3 linked regions of the Drosophila melanogaster genome follow. The protein of the gene in region 3 purifies or fractionates together with the protein of the main gene of each other region. This does not show direct contact. Each region holds a gene or a part of one and is shown on either strand. Other genes may lie near its edges. The genes, in order: Nubpl, Prx4 and mtDNA-helicase.

Region 1 (8,184 bases), about 12 Mb from region 3:
AATTGGTACCTCTGAGTTTACTCGGGGGGTATATGAGTGAAAGAGTGAACGCTGTTGTCGAGTTTCTTTCTTCTTTGTGGAATACCACTTAAGAATAAACTTGAGTAGTCTAGTAATAATGATATTAATTTATCTTGGTCTGGTCCACGTAAATCAGTATCGACACTAGCGAAATCAAATTTACATTCAGAAATCAAACAGGTGAAAAGGACTTTTCACTAAATATATTTAGAGCGTTAAATGTTATTGTAACTCCCATATCTTGGCTCAATATTTTTCGTCCAATTAAGATATCTTAACTTAATCACCTAAAACTACATGGAATAAAATTTCAAATGTGTGTTCGGTTAAGGTAACATTTGCCAATATCTGAGTAGTACTACAAACGTACTGTTTCCAATGCCTCACAATACAACTACATTGATATATAATAATATAAATATTAAAAATATATAATAATATAATTCAAAAAAAATTTTTTCAATGATTTCAAAGAATTGGTATACAAAATTATTGTTATTAAAAAACCCAATGCCCATATGAAAAATCACATCGATGTCATGTTACTGGCAGTAATACCAGCTTGAATAACTCACTCGCTTTAGCGCGATCGAGGACGACGGCGACTTTTTTGAGTACGTTCCCTGCATTACTTATCGAGCGTCGGTTGGCTGAGAGGAATCTAAATATTGTCATCGATACCGCGGTGTCGGCAAAAAAAAAAGAAAAGAGAGATGGAGTGGAATTGTTGCGTTGGAAGCTCTTGGAGTTCAATAAGATACGACTGGATTTAAAGGGAGAAAGACAGTTTTTTAGGTTGCGGGATTTGCGGGTCAGCTGAGCTGAATAACTGTACAGCGACGAATGTATTTCATATGCTAGAGACATAAATATGACAGTACCAAAAAAATATGAGTTTTCATAAAAGCACTAAGGAGCATTTGAAATGTTAAAAATAGCGTTAATCAAAGGAAAAGTTCTAAAGCTTTACGATCACTTGAGACAGAGATTTATACAGATGTATGTAAGTTTGGATTAAAAGCAGTTATGCTTTAGAGAGATTTCGGGGATAAGTTGTGACATGTAAGTTTTGCGTTGACCGACATGTGAAAGGCTCAATGTAGTGAACGACGTTCTGAATGAAGATCCCAACAAAGAGCTCATAGGTAATAAAGGTGAGAATTCTAAGCTCGGAAGGAGGTTCAACAAATTCGAAAAGTACCAAAGTTAACTGTTTTAAATATGCCTACTTTGGATATTTAAGTAATTCAAGACTGTTTGATGTCTATGTAAGATAATGAGAGAAATGAGATGAGAAAAAATGCGATCAGAAAATACAAACGATATGGTCAGTAAGAGTAGAAGAAGGCATGTTTAGTACACGCACACAAACAGAAAAATAAAAACAAATGCATATAGTTGTTACGTCTGCGTATTAGTGCCCTCGCATTCAAAAAGGACTTGGGCCTATCCATCCTATGTTCAGCATCTTGGTACGGCTCTTACCTCTCCAACATTACGATTAACGAATATTAAAAGTTTCTGAAAAATATTTGTGTTAGTATCGTTCGTCATTCATCAGTCTTTAAGCTTAGCTGTTAGCGGATCGCAAATCGACCGCATTCAGAAGATTCACCGCAAAGACAACATGTTGCACTATATGGACGACATCCTCGCTTGGAGCAACTCTTTCGATGAGATGACTGGCAAAGTTTCAGTGGTTTTAAGCGCATTAAGCGAATGTGGTTTAACGTTAAACATCGACAAATGCGAATTTTATAATGAAACTCTCCTGTCTTAGCCCAGGAGAAGTAAAGACAAATGATGTAGTCGAATTTCCGAAACCAGAATTTGTTCCGAAAAAATGTCAACTTCTAATGGCAGCAGCAGCAGGAAGACTCATTAAACGAATTAAAACAGAAGCTCAGTTGTAAACCGATTCTTGTAATCTACCGCGTAGACGCGGAGCACGAACTTCATACAGACGCTAGTTCGATCGACCTGCAGCGAGATAACGACAAGCTGTTACCAATCGCATACTTCAGCCGGTCAACAACGAAGGTCGTAAGGAAAATGCACAGCTACGAACTAGAAGCTCTCGCCGTTGTAGAGGCGCTGGAAAGGTTTACATATTATGTGTATAGCAAGCGTATTAAAGTCATTAATGATTGCAGCGCATTACGTACAACATTGAGAAAACGCGAACTCATCCCAAGAACAGCCCGGTGGTGGCTACTCATCCAGGACATGTTCCACAGGAACATGTGGACGTGCTTAGTCGATCTCCATATGAACCAGCGCACGAATTGAACAACGCCGACTTAAAAATATCCAAGACCATAATCGACGAAGGAGACTGGCTATTTAGCATTCAATTTTAAGATGAGAAGATACGGAATATTGTCAAAGCGAGACTATACTACGATGCCAAACATAATCCTCCGACTATGTATAAAAAAGATTATCTCATCTTAGTGGAGAATGAGCCTGCCGCAACTGGAACGGTAAAAACGAACGATCGATATGTCATCGAAGGACTCTACGCCATTATAAGTCCGTCTACTCATCCGATAAGCTCAAACCGTGGTGTCGCCTTCCGGACGACGACGTCCAGCGAGGACGTTAATTTAAATCAGGAAGGGCCGACTGTAAGAAGATAAATACTTATTAATGTTAATGTTATTGTTAAACCTTAACGACAAGTCCAATACGATACTTATTACTTATGCTAACCGTATTGATAAGTTCAATGCCCCATGCGGGGCAACGTATATAATGATTCGAGCAATACGTGTGTTTCTTTCGAATAAACTAAGCCATCCCATGCAAGCCATCCTATAACGGAATCGCCAATTTATTTAAAAAAAAGTTTCGAATCAATGACAACGCTTACACTTTGATGAGTCTATAAAAGTGTGGGATTTAATGTGTTCCGCTTGAGATCTCGGGTCCGACTGCTCATCAATATGATTGATCTCATACGCTCTCTTGTGACTGACGATCACTTCGCGACCTTTGGCCTACTTGTCTTCTGGCTTGTTTCGGCCCTCCTGGCTGGATGTTCGTCCCGAACCCCTTCATGAACTCAGAGGATCTTTTCCAAAAAAAAACTTTCCCTTTAACTTTATACAAACTCCATACTGAGTACGTGTGTGGTCGATCACTTCCACTGTGTTGATCACATTGGCTTTTTTATATCTTATATCCTTTTGCCTGCCCAGTATCTCTTCCGTCCGGTCTTTGTACTGGATTGTAACGACGATGTCCTCTCTCGGGGCTCTTGATCAAGATCGCCATTTTTCCTTTTGTACCGGAGACTCTATAGGGTCTCCTTAAAAAAATTCAAATTATTATCGAGGTGCTGGATTCGGAATAAAGGGTAAGCGAGTGCGGGGCAAATTCAGGTTAGATACCTCTAAAACATAATTTAAATATAATTTGGACGCAGTGCCGGAATATTAACCCCTAGATCAACTGGGTCTTGCAAGAGAACAAAGTCGAAGCCGTTTGGATCACCAATAGAAAATAGAAGGACGGCGGCTGTTTTTGTGGGACCCCAGGACAGGGCCTTGAGGCCCGGGAAAGTGAAAATCATAAATTTAAATGAAATTACGGAAAACTGGCATGCATGATAAAAATCTTTAGGCCAAATTTTCGACCGCGAAGAGATTCCGTAACTAGGCAGCGATCTCGGTCCGGTCCGAAATAATGAATTAATTTGAGTTAGTGTTTTTTTATATGTGTAAGTGTAAGTGAGAGCGAGACGCCGCATTTGGTTTAGAGTGTAGTGCAGCCCAAAATTGAAGGACATCAATTAAATATTTCGTACATTAGTAAATGAAATTATAATAAAAAAAGAGAGAATACTATAGTCGAGTTCCCCGACTATCAGATACCCGTTACTCAGCAAGTGTGAGCGAACGCTCTCTTGGATCGCGATTGATATTGGGGAATAAAATGAGAACAAATTTAAAAATTGTTCCAATAAAATTAAGAAAAAGGTCGAAAAATGGTTCAAAAATTTGGGCGTGGCAGTTTTGCGCGGTTTGTGGGCGTGGCAACATGGATCAACAAACTAGCTCTGCGTCTTCGTCTCTAGAATCTCTCTAGAGGAATTTATTCCCAAAGCTAAGGTCTTGCATTGATTCTGATCCTTTCAGATATTGCTTAGCAATATTTGATTCAAGTTGAGCCCCATTTAAACGAGCAAAGTGAGAATAGAAATATTAAGAAAACTAAAAGCATGACCTCGTGTAACGTGGGATCCAGCACATTTACCACGGATGGGATTCTGAAGACAATAATTCGTTGAGTGCCTAAAAATGTGACATTTCAGACTGTAAAACTCTTTTCTGCGGCGCGCACGCTCCATAGTGACTCGATGTCTGCCTAGTTGAGTTATTTTCAGTACTTTGTCGACATTCGATCCTTGTTTTAGGTTTACGAAAAACAAGTATTGCCTTGTCTGTAGTTGATTGTCGCTTCGTTGTCTTCTTCAGAGCAGAGATCGGTTCGTTTTGGCAATCCGCTTTTCTCGGGCAATATATTTAATGATAATAATAATAAATAATAATTTAATGAATATAAAAATGAAACCCGGAATCACAATTCAGTATAGGTTGTCATCCTTAAGTTGATGATGCCAAAACTGACAATTTACCATTGATAAATGGATGGATAAAAAGCATTAGAAATGGCTGTGTATATCCAAATTTAGAGGTGCGAATACTATAGTAATTCTCACAAGCGCACGAATTCAGAGCCTGTTTGAAAGCGTGGAGATGGTTAATATCCGGGACACGTTTTGCTATAGGAGGGCATATTTAAACATGAAGATTGTATCTGTCACAGACAAGATGAGCAATCTAGATTAAAGAAGCCAGAAGAGGATTTCAGCTAGTTGGCGTTACATTTTTGAAACTACCAGCAAAAATCAATCCACAAAAAGCAGAACTAGTTTGAAACCTTCTCTTAGTCTTAGCTGTGAAGCATGACATGGTTTTGTGGTGTGTTGTTTAATGTAAATGCGGGAAACGAAACAACAGTCCCTTTCCCCTGATAACTTTATTGGTTTTAGCGGTACAGCATAACAAATGTAAGTAATAAGAATTTTTGATATACACAAATTTTTTTTAATGTGCACTGTTATTTTGATTTTGATTACATCTTTGTTCGTTAAGTATTTGTGTAATCTCCTCAGCCAATTGGGTAAATAGATAAGAGTACTTGCTGTCCGGATATTTTATTACAACAGGCACTCCACTCTCGTTGCTATCCGCTATTCGTGAGTCTAACGGAAGAGAAATTAGCTTGCGCGGTAGAGAACTTATACGGCTGTCTTTAAAAAACTCCAATCGTTGATTACAGTTCTGACAAATGGTGTACTTCATGTTCTCTACTACGCCAAAGATAGGAACATTTAACTTTTCGTACATGCTTGCACCTTTCAAGGTCACCTGAACAGCTGCAGTATGAGGTGTTGTTACCAGGATAACCCCTGTGATAGGTGCATGCTGGGATAGTGAGAGATGTACATCTCCAGTGCCCGGTGGAGTATCTATAACTAGGACATCTAGAAGCCCCCAATCAGTACCTTTTAGCAGTCGTTGTATTGCTGACATTACAAGAGGACCTCGCCAGATAACAGAGGTCTCTACAGGTGTCAGCATGCCCATAGACAAGCACTTTACATTGTAGTTTTGCGGCGGGATCATCAAATTCTTATCGTTCACAACCGGCTCACCATGGACATTCATGAGAAGTGGAATAGTAGGCCCGAAGATATCCCCGTCCAGCAATCCTACTCGCTTTCCTAGTTTTGCCAAGCTGCAGGCAAAATTAACTGTGAAAAGGACTCCAATAACCCATGAATCGAAATATGTGAGTACACACCTGCCACGGTGCTTTTTCCAACACCACCCTTTCCAGAGGCAACGACTATAATATCTTGTACTCCAATAATCGGTTGCTTTTTAGGCAATCCCCGCGCCATTAACTTCACCTGGGACCCAGTTAATTTTGTTGCGTAGGAGCGCCATATCGTGTTGATCAATAGACGCTCCATTGTTACAAAACGATAAATTTATTTTCCATCCTAAAAATAAAACTCATAGTGAAAACAGCGACGACAGCTTTATAGCCGATTCTCACACATTTCCATCATTCCTATTTTGCGAAGTCATTTTTCGATAATTCTCGATAGCTCAATTAATATTCCTAGGTATTTAGCATTTTTCTTTGGCGACTGAAGCGACCGATTGAGCAGATTAAAAAACTGGGAAAGCGAGTATTTTTACTGGACGGTATATATTTATTAATACTATTATAACCCATCTAATGAATGTCTATAGCGAGCAGTTTGTTTACGATAGGAATACCACGTTAGACCACGTTTACCACGTAATTCAAATAAACCAGTCAAAACTCAACAGTGGAACAACAGTAGTAACAGCAGTACAAGAATACTCGTAAAACGGTTTACTCTGTGAAAAGTCTCTGCCTGCCGCTGACATTTAAACTGTCACATTTTTCGGCGAACCTCGCCAAGCTTGGATGAAGAACATGTTGAGGCAAGTGGTGGAGAAGTGGTGTGGCAATTTATAAACACGCTAAAGTTAATTTTTCAAGTAATATTTCAGTTTTTTTTAGGGTCTATTTAGGGTATATCGAACGGCGGCCCGTACCGAACCGATTGAGTTAAAGTGTATCATAGCAATACCGGTGCGATCAACACTTAATTGTTAACTGAATGCAGAAGCCAAATGAGCAAGTTTCACAGAATAAAAATTAAAACCAGGTTAGCGCCCCCTGAGCAAAAATATTTGACGTGAGATATTTGGAAAACGGCTTGAGCGAGAGCTTTGGAAATTTTTTTCCCTTAAAAGTTTAACAATTCTATAAATAAAAAGTTTATATAGAATGCAGTTTGTTGTTTATAGATTTTTATTTCAATAAAAAAGAAAAACAATCCATAAATGGGTAAGTCAAAATTGCGTCATCAGTGTATAAGAGTTTGGCTGCATAACCAAACATCCTCCCCCCGTTGGTGGACTCTAGCTGACAACATCATCCTGTTTGGGTAGAACGCAAAGTTTAGCGACGGCTCTATTGAACAGCAACTCGTGCGACGCCATTGAGTCCAGGGATCAGATTTATTACTCGAGCTAGTGGCCATTTGAGGGGTGGCAGGTTTTCGTCTTTTACTAAAAGGACATTATCGATTTGAACGTCTGTCTTCTGTGCTCGCCATTTGGAACGTTGCTGAAGAAGCGTTAGATATTAACTGGTAGTAAGTGATTCGCTGCCAGCGATCCAATCGGTTGAGATTTAATTTTGTGAAATCAGGCTCAGCAAACAAGGCGAGGGGGGCAGTGCCTAAGAAGTGCACTGGCGTTAGTACTTCAAGGTCGTCAGGATGTTTTAAAAGAGGAACTAAGGGTCTTGAATAAATTGTTGCCATTGCGGCAACTATGGGTTAAAAGCCGCAAATTTTGGTATAAATGTAATTTTTTTTGTGACTGATATTTTAATGCTGCTTTCATTTTTGGATTCCTAATTTGCCCTTTTTTACGAAACATTTTATGTTGTAGGTGTGTATGAGTTTAGTCATGAAGTGCAGCTGAGTGTTTGGAGCAACAACGATGCAGACGCTGTTAACAGTTATATTTAGAAGAGAACTTTGTGCCTAAAGAGCAAAATATTACAATTTTAAGGAAAGTGAACCAATTTAGTTCTTATGTGAACAAGCACTTAAGGAAATTCAAACGAAATCATTAATTGTGGCTTCCGTCTAAAATTGTTGTCGTTATTCATAGCCAGAAATTACACTATGCAAAGCTGGTCGAAAACAGTTAACATTTGAATATGCAGAGCCTCAACCTAAAAAAATTAGCAAATTAGTACTTCTCGTACATGCTGCTTCAATTCCGAAAAAAAAAACGAAGCAGGCAGAAACGGCCTTTGTATTAAAAAAAAAGGATAGGTAGTGAAACATACATGTAGTAATTTTACTTTATAGTGTTACTTTATTGTTTAATGACAATTGTTTATAGTACACTTTATATTGTTTAATGACAATAGTTCTTGCTTATTATTATTTTATTTATAATAATAGTTGTATAAGTATATAGCGCGATTGAAAAACTTGCTCGTTCACCATTCTACTCGAAGTCCCTCCTTTTTGGT
Region 2 (4,388 bases), on a different chromosome or scaffold from region 3:
CGAGCAGTAGGCTGTATGATGAATCGCATTCTAAAGGAACAAACGCCCAAACATTATAATCGCCGACTGCTTTTTGGTTCGACGTGTTGCATGGTCATAGCTCTAAGAACTTTTTAACCCCTTATTTGATTAACGTTTCCGGGAATCTGAACAGTGCAACGCTTTGATCGATACGGAATCTCCGCAGCAAAGGAATCTCCCGCACAACTTGGATCTGAACCGCAGTTGCACCTTCGTTATTTTATGAACCTCGGTTTTGGCATTTAAAGCTCACCACAATGAAGCACTTACTGACAAACGCACAAAACGGAAAACAGAAAGCAGACTACACACGAAGAATCCGACGAGAACGAGTGCCTTATGACGTCCTAGTTATTGTCGTCGCCCCCGTCCCGTTTCCCCAGATTTATATACCTCGACAGACCTAGCTTTGTTGTACGCATAGGTCGGAGCACAGGATAACTTAATTGCAACCATGGCGTACCTAACTAATTTACTATTACCTTTTACCTACTACATATTACATATTACATATATTTTTGTATGAAACTAATTGCAATCGAATTGTTACCCATTAGAGTGGCCTAGTGAGCCAGCTTTCAAGGCATTTTGAGATCGAAAACATCTCCTCCTTTTTGGTACCGCTCCTGTGGCGCCGCGCAATTTTCATCACCTTCACATGTACTTCATGAATTTATTTATATCTCAGTTATGCTGTAAAATAAACAAACTATGTTTTGTACAAAGCAAATGCGAAATATTCACAATCGGTGGCATTGCGGATTTGGATTTTCTGTACAGAGGACTCTAGCGATTGTTCGTTTGCATCGTGATTCAGTCGTGAACATTAGGAATGTAACTGGGCTAGGCTACTAAGGTAATGTGCATCTCTATCTGTCCCTAGTTGTTCTTGGCAAAGTACTTCGTCTTCTCCTCAGGATTGGGAACGATCTGTAAAGGTAATGGTATCAAAAAGAATTTACCTAAGGCAATGCTTCAAAAAACCTACCGTATCGGCACCTGGCCGCCAACCTGCTGGGCAAACCTCTCCATGGGTGTCCGTATACTGGAAGGCCTGAACCAGACGAATAGTCTCGTCCACAGAGCGTCCCACGGGCAAATCATTCATGGTGATCTGTCGCAGCACTCCGGTCTGATCGATAATGAAGAGACCGCGCAGCGCATGACCGCTGGACTCCAAGTAGACTCCGTAGTCCTTGCTGATCTTATGCGTTAGATCGGAGAGCAGTGGGATCTTCACGTCGCCCAGGCCGCCCTCCTTGCGCGGCGTGTTTATCCAGGCCAAGTGGGTGAAGTGCGAGTCCACGCTGACGCCAATCACCTCGGTCTTGATCTTCTTGAACTCGGCGATGCGGTCGGAGAAGGCAATGATCTCCGTTGGGCATACAAAGGTGCTAAAATGGCAATGAGAAATGCGATCATACTAAATGTAAATGTAAACTTACAAGTCCAGTGGGTAGAAGAGTAGCACCACATATTTCCCTAGATACTGGGACAATGATAGCTTCACAATCTCCTTATTAACCACGGCGGTGCCCTCGAACTGCGGAGCTGGCTTGGAAACTGGGGAAATAAGGGTAGCAGCAACTTAATAGTGATCCCTGGTTTTTTGCATCCAATGGAACTCACTGACTGCCTTGGTGTACTGCAGCTGATGGTCGCCCTTCGGCTGGTCGGGATAAACGGAGCCGCCGGCGAAGGAATAGCACGATTCATTATCTTCCGGCTTGGCAGCTCCAACGAGTGCCGCGGACAGCAGTAGGACAGATAAGTACTTGGACATGATTGGGCTGAAACGAGATCCACGTACGTATATGGCTATTGGATTCGGTTTATACGCTATTTATTACACGCGGCCTTTACAATTATTGCCGCTCTTTATATTTATAATAAATCTGTGTACAGTGGTCGCCCAACTATCTTTAATTTTGTAAATTATGTAAAGATATATAATTTTGAATGTTAATTAGGAACAAAACTAAACTTCAAAGAAAAGATACTCCTTCTATGTACTAAATCCTTGTTCCGTCCGTGTCAGCCAGTCTCTACTGTACGCACATACCCAAAATTCGAACACGCCCACAACTTGTAGCCACGCAGTCAAAAAAGTAACTATTTCAACGGGCAGAACTTCAATTGATTTTGGTGGAACGCGCTTATTGTTGCTGCGCTTCCGAAAAGATAAGCTTATCAATTTCATTCACTTCACTGCTATTATAATTTATAGTTGTCAGCGTGTAACCGATTTAAACAAATATAGTTTACAAAACTACTAAAATTCCAATGCCAATGCGATTGCCTAGCTCCGATTTGAATATTTATTTTTAGTTGCAGGGTAGTTAACTTGCTTGCATTAAGCAACAATGCAAACGCACAGCTGTTACCTTTTAAGCGCTATAATTAACTCTTTTTGTTTTAATAACAAATTGTTCTGCCGGCATTGGTGTGACCGTAATACGCAAAAATACCATACTGTCGTTCCGACACCAATGCATAGTTCAGCATTGCCAACATAAATTTCATTATGAAATATTTGAATTTTCATTTCATATTAACGCGTAACTGCAATTTTGAAAGAATATTATTTTAGAAAAAATATCTGTGCTGCATTGGCGAATCAAAAGCGATGTATGGCCATGCTATGATCTATCCAATTTTTTTTAAGTAAAAAACACTTTCTCAGTTAACTTTTACTTACGCTATAAACTTTATTAAAATATATACAGTTTGTCAAGAAACTGTTTACACACTGTGAAATAAGTTGAATTTTTGACTTTAAAGCTAAAAATAAAGGGTTTTTTGCTTAATTAAACGCAATTTTTTTATAAAATATAATTAAACAATATTTATTTTACTTATAAATCAAAAAACAAATTAAAAATATTAAATATACAAGAAAATAAACAACAAATTCCAAGTTTACACACTTTTGAGACTGTCAAGAAACTCTTTACACATTTTGTTTTCCTACTTTGTTTTGTTCTTTTTCTTAGAACGAACTCGATTTTTCCGTTATTTTTGGCTTTGCATTGCTTTTTACAACGCTTCTATTGAAATTTTGTTGACTTTGCTTGTGAAATTTTGCTGATCAAACGTGCTTAAAGCGAATTATTAAATTTAATAAAATGCCTGGAAAGAGATTAACTTTTGAAGTTACCCAATTAATAAACTATAACCACCAGTTGGGAAAATCTTTTCCAGAATTAGTATAAATGTTTCCTGTATCCCGTAAGACCGTCTACAATGTTTTAAAAGGCTCGGAAAAAGAGGGCAGGCTTGAACCTAAGAGCGGTGGTGGGCGGAAAATTAAAATTAAAAAGCGTGTAGACCGCTTTATTATGCGAATAGTGATTGCGAACCCCCGAATCTCGGTCAGATCACTTGCTCTGGATATCAGGCAAGAATGCCACCTAACTGTGTCACACGAAACTGTGCGCCAAGTCATCCTACGCCATAGGTACTCTTCAAGATTTGCAAGGAAAAACCCTTTGCTATCAGATGCCAATATGGAAAAGCGTCATTAATTCGCTGTGAGCATGATGGATCATGCGGAAGAGTACTGGGATGACGTCATATTTTGTGACGAAACAAAAATGATGCTCTTTTATAACGACGGGCCAAGCAGAGTATGGCGCAAACCGTTGAGTGCGCTAGAAAAACAAAATATCATTCCAACGATAAAATTTGGAAAAATGTCACTGATGGTTTGGGGCTGTATCACCAGCCGTGGAGTGGGAAAACTAGCCTTAATTGAGAGCACAATAACTGCCGTGCAATATCTAGAAATGTTAAAAAACAAATTTGAAGGCCAGTGCAGAAAAATTCGGTCTAGTTAGCAACAACAAGCCAAATCTTAAGTTTTACCAGGACATGATCAGAAACATAAAGAGTGCAATGTACGCACCTGGCGCCTTAATAACTGTGGTAAAGTGATCGATACGCCCCCTCAGAGTCCTGATCTGAACCCCATTGAAAATTTGTGGACCTACTTAAAGAAGAAGGTGGCAAAAAGGGACCTAAAACACAACAACAGCTTATGACTGTAATAGTCGAAGAGTGTGAAAAGATCCCGTTTGAATATGACCTGCAAAAACTTGTCCAATCCATGAAAAAAAGGCTTCAACTTGTAGCTAAAGCCAATGGGGAACATACTACATACCAAAACTTTTAAAATTTTAATAAAATAATTAAAAAATTTAGGATTAAACTTCGATTTAGTGTTTTGTGTAAAGAGTTTCTTGACAGTCTCAAAAGTGTGTAAACTTGGAATTTGTTGTTTATTTTCTTGTATATTTAATATTTTTAATTTGTTTTTTGATTTATAAGTAAAATAAATATTGTTTAATTATATTTTATAAAAAAATTGC
Region 3 (4,826 bases):
TTTCATGGGCTCTCGCAATCGCCGCTCGTTTCTTTACCACCGCCGCTATCAGTTGTTGTCTGGAAAACAGTGAGTACTTCACTCAGTGATATTGAATATGTATTTATTTTAATTTACCTCAACTGCTCCCCTTTTTCTGTAGTCATTTTACGCTTCCAAAATTTGCAATTGAGATGGTCGATAACAACCTTCGATAGACACTTAGTTGGGAAATATGCGGTCAATCGGTAGCAAACAATCGATATTAATATCAATGGAATGGTCACTCTGTTTTTGCAAAACGTAAATAAAAAACAAATTGAATTGATAACAAAAATGGTTTGCGAGAAGTGCGAGGCCAAGCTCTCCAAAGTTTCAGCGCCCAATCCCTGGCGAACGAGCACAGCTCCTGCGGGAGGACGTAAAATCAACGAGAACAAGGCTTTATCCTCGGCCCGCGAGCGATACAATCCCATAGGGACTGCTTTACCACCTTGCCGGTAGGGAAATCTCCTCAAGAATTCATCTGCATATCTTAATCTGATTTTTAATTATCCAGAATCTGCCGACAGAAAGTGCACCAGATGGGTTCGCACTATTGCCAGGCGTGCGCCTACAAAAAGGCCATATGCGCCATGTGCGGCAAGAAGATCATGAACACCAAGAACTACAAGCAGAGCTCAACGTGATGCAGTTTATCAAAGGATGCACTTAAGACTAAACTAACCATAGACAACAGAATAATTATAACCTATAGTACAACAAATGCCTTACTAATCAGTTCTCGGATGGCGTCTTTTCCCGTTTTCGCTTGGCATTTTGGATCTGGGTTGAGTAGCTCAAGCCGTCTTTGTCGAATTCCAGTGGCATGATGCCCAGGTCGCCGGAATAACGATTCTTGGCAATTTGGAGATACTTCTTGCCCCGCACAGAAGTCAGCCTCTTGTCTTGAATGATCAACACGTTGTCCGCTTCTTGGGTGGCCTTTGCTGTGCCGAAAACCGAGCTGGTGGTCAGCTCGTCCTCCTGCCGCTCCTTGCGCGGATGCATTACGAGTGTCACGTGTACATTGTGCTTGGTGGCAAAGGAGCGAAAGGCAGCTATAATAGAGTCCTGTTCAAAGAACTTGTCGCCTCGAAATGTGGACACGCCCATCATAAATTGCAGATTGTCAATGATCACGTGCATCACATCGTGCACATACGACGCATGCTCGATGGCTTCCAGAACCGGCTTAAGGGGCTGCTGTCCGTGGAAGGTCATAAAGTATAGCGGCAAACGCTCAAACTCCGCTGCCCAGTGGTTAAACTCATGCAACCGGTCGTCCAACGGGTAGCCCACATACTGGCGAAGCAAGGTGGCCGCCAGCCGGGTGTTTCGGATCTCAAAAGAGCCCCACAGCGTGTTTACGCCCTGCATGGCCAGATCCAGAGAGTACTCGCTCATAAAGGTTGTCTTTCCACTACCCGTGGGTCCTGTGAGGATTGTCAACTCTCCCCTCCGATGGCCTTTGAGCAGCTTATTCAGTACTGGAAAGCGCTTCCACTTTACTCCATTGACTTTCTCGATGTTTTGCAACTCGCTGAGAATGTCATTTCGCATTGCTCCGAATGTTGTGATGGCCTTGTGCTGCACCGGTGTCGCTTTGGCCAGGATGTGGCGCAGATTGAGTCGTCGGCGCAGAGCCAAATGTGGCGCAGGTTCCGTCTCAGTAGGTCGGATTAACAGGCATCGCCTTTCGTCCAACTTTAACGCAAAAGCTCTAGCTGCATCCCAGCTGTGACTGGCATCGTAGTGCAACCAAAAGATGAGCTCTTTGAAGCGTTCCAAGGCGGGCAGACACTCTTGTGGTAGAGTCTTCAGTTCGTAGGGCAGGCATACAACGCAATCTAGGAGACAATTTAATTTTTAAATTAAATTATATCTTAAATGTGTACTAGCTGAGCCAAACTGGTTTCCAAATTATTTTTAATTGATATCTTAAATATATCACCCTAGGATTTCTTCACTATTCTGCAACCAATGAAAAATATTCCTAAAAGCTATGTTTTCACTTACGCGTTTCAATGTTCTGTGTGGCAAGGACAATAAAGTCAATTAGATTGCTGACTAGAACCGCTTTGGTTTTGTTCATCGCACCGTGAATCAGCAGCCCGGAGCTGGAGCTGCTCTGGAAGATCTCCTCCCGTCGATCGCCCAGATATAACACCTTTTCGCCAACCTCCACTTGCGCGGCATTGCGTAACTTAAAGTGGAGCAGCTGTTGCTGCGGCTCCCACTGTGCTCCTATGGCATTTAGTTGGTCCTCCTTCAAGCCCTTGATTCCCAAAGCTGCACAGGCCTCGGGAGTAACCACGGCCAGGTGGGGAAATCGGGATTCATAGACCGGCTGCCTCTGCAGCGGTTGCTTATAGCCAACCGGCTTGGGCAACTGATAGGATAATAAAGCGCTGGTCAGTGAGGTTTTTACGTCGCAATTGGGGCAGATAAAGGCTCCTAAAGGAAAATTGAATATACTACGGTTTTTTTTGCGAAATGTAATTGGTGCTCTCACCCGTCCGCTTGTTTACGTAAGCCAGCAGCCCATGATCGGTGCCCTTTTGGGCGTTTGTCACCGGCTGCCTATTGCGATCGCAGAGGCGACACTCCAGCTGCAAGCACGTGTGTCCGTCTTTGTGGGGCAAGTTGAGCTGCCGCAGCTGCCGCTTGAAGTCCACATACTCCTTGGGGTCTAGTGAGCACTCCTCCAAGCCGGAAACCACTTGGGTAGCGTAGTTTTTTCTCCAAACACGTTGTTTTTCGTTATTTATACGCAACAGCGGTTTGATTAAACCGGCGCGTCTCATTTTCCATGTTATCGATATCGAAAGTGAGGGGTGGAAAATAGGGATGACAATTGGGCGCGCAATTTTGAAGATTTGTTTACCTACTATTAATCATTCAAATATCTTTGTACTCTCTCAGTGCTCTGGGAAGCGCTCTATTTAATACTAGGAAATCTCATTAAATTACTTTCGTAAAGTGCGCTTACAATTGTGCTAAATTGTTCGATAAATACCAGTTTAGTTAAGCACGGTAAATTCAAATTATAAAGCATTATCTATCTATAACTTTGTTCTAAGGTCAATACTTTATTTGTACAACTGATTAAACAAATTGCGGCTCTTTTCCACCATCCCAATAACAATAAAAAATATATACAATTCGTGATTATTTGATTTTATTAGTTTATTTATTTTAGTATTTGAAGATGTCCAATTCTTTTTATATCAAGATCTTTTACACAAGGCAACGTCACTCTGCAATTAAAGTAAAATATAAAATATATTAAATACATCATCTCAAGACAGCCGAAATATATATATTTGTATTAGTCAGACGCCTTAGACCATCCTTAAGCCGAAGCTTTCTGGTGGAAACCGCAAAAGGTGTTTAAGGTAATCATCAGTTTATTTATTAATTTAAAAAAAAAAATTCTCGAAAATATTACCTTATACAGTCGAATAAACGAGCTCATTTAGTTATATTTGCCTGCGATAAACCACATTTCTGAGTTGATCTGGAAACAAGAGATAAAATAGGTAAGTAAAATGCTAGTTTAAGTATAATAAAGTTTTTATTGAAACTTTTTAGTCAGACGCCTTAGACCATCATTAAGCCGAAGCTTTCTGGTGGAAACCGCAAAAGGTGTTGAAGTTAATCATCAGTAAAACGTATATTGCATTCAAACATAAAAATGTTAGTGTAAATAAATTACCTTTATCGGTAAATCCATGTGCTCGCTGCTGCAGCTGGACCCATACATAACCTCAAACCAGAATGTAAATTCTGGAAATAAAAGAAAATGGCATCAATACAGTGTGTACAAGGAGTACTTCCAAATATTTTATATATTTGATTAGGTTTCAGTTTACAATTTTCTGCACGGTTATGAGCTCAGTACAGGTCTGTGTAAAAGATCATCAGAGAAGCATAGACCAACCAAAAGTATTAATATCTTACCTCCAATGTGACAATGGCGTCTCCAGTGGGCTCAGTGCCCAAGGTGTCTCAACGGGCTCACATGTTGTCCCGAGGTGTCTCACATGCACCATGCACGTGGAGTGCCCGGATTTCGATTTATCCAAATGCTTAGGGTTTCAATATTGTTCACTGCAAGAAATACAGAACTTTTAGAACATATTCTTGCCAAACCCAAAGAAAGTTCTTGAAGTTATATGCCATCAGATCGCCGAATCATCTTAAATGAACAAATATATAACGAGGCACTGAAAAATACAGCGCCAAGTCGAGAATTTGTTCCTTCAGTCTCGTCATCTGTTTCATCATTTGAGGCATAACACTCTTCCATTTAAGCACTTTAATTCACTTGATATAAAACTATTTACGAAGAGCACACAACTTACCATTTCGAGTCTTGAAATAAAATGAACGAGTTTCGTCATCGCACGTGGAAGGAAAAATTCTGTGAAAAGATGGCGGCCAACTATCGATGTCTCTGAATGCAACCATGGTAGTATCGTATCGGAAAAATTGTTTGGTTTTTGCCTGATATATATTGTATAAGAATGTGCAATAATTAACTTAACCGAATAAATGATATTCCATTTAATTTTCATTAAATCATTCATAAAATACTTAATATATGAAAAACTTTCATATTTATATGTTAATTCGATGTATCGATTGCCTATCGCTGTCTTCGGTGATCTAGCCCAAACAGCTGATTTTACCAAAATACTTACCACACGTGTGCCACTTTTTAAGTTATATTGTTTACAGTTTTTGGGAATTACAGCTTACAATGGTATATATAAATCTTTAATATTTAATTAAACCCGACCTAA

What was found.
Region 1: the proteins of mtDNA-helicase (region 3) and Nubpl purify together in Drosophila melanogaster (affinity purification with mass spectrometry, with the first as the bait; one large-scale study listed by BioGRID). This does not show direct contact.
Region 2: the proteins of mtDNA-helicase (region 3) and Prx4 purify together in Drosophila melanogaster (affinity purification with mass spectrometry, with the first as the bait; one large-scale study listed by BioGRID). This does not show direct contact.

Annotation. Positions count from the first base shown.
Region 1 is NT_033779.5:22,237,812-22,245,995, reverse strand, and holds the start of Nubpl (NUBP iron-sulfur cluster assembly factor, mitochondrial), read right to left. Parts: upstream 6,081-8,184; 5' UTR 6,065-6,080; coding exon 5,893-6,064; intron 5,843-5,892; coding exon 5,133-5,842; 3' UTR 1-5,132. UniProt on the Drosophila melanogaster protein: Iron-sulfur cluster transfer protein involved in the assembly of the mitochondrial membrane respiratory chain NADH dehydrogenase (Complex I). May deliver one or more Fe-S clusters to complex I subunits.
Region 2 is NT_037436.4:3,040,468-3,044,855, reverse strand, and holds Prx4 (peroxiredoxin 4), read right to left. Parts: upstream 2,498-4,388; 5' UTR 2,406-2,497; intron 2,307-2,405; exon of another isoform or gene 2,084-2,306; intron 1,812-2,083; 5' UTR 1,805-1,811; coding exon 1,651-1,804; intron 1,585-1,650; coding exon 1,467-1,584; intron 1,416-1,466; coding exon 1,010-1,415; intron 952-1,009; coding exon 901-951; 3' UTR 682-900; downstream 1-681. Other genes in the region: scramb2 (scramblase 2), read left to right, coding at 1-10.
Region 3 is NT_033779.5:9,890,595-9,895,420, forward strand, and holds mtDNA-helicase (mitochondrial DNA helicase), read right to left. Parts: upstream 2,853-4,826; 5' UTR 2,826-2,852; coding exon 2,534-2,825; intron 2,476-2,533; coding exon 2,038-2,475; intron 1,869-2,037; coding exon 757-1,868; 3' UTR 669-756; downstream 1-668. Other genes in the region: CG34183 (uncharacterized protein), read right to left, coding at 1-59, 118-146; CG4537 (uncharacterized protein), read left to right, coding at 316-479, 539-668; Bka (bekka), read left to right, coding at 4,784-4,786.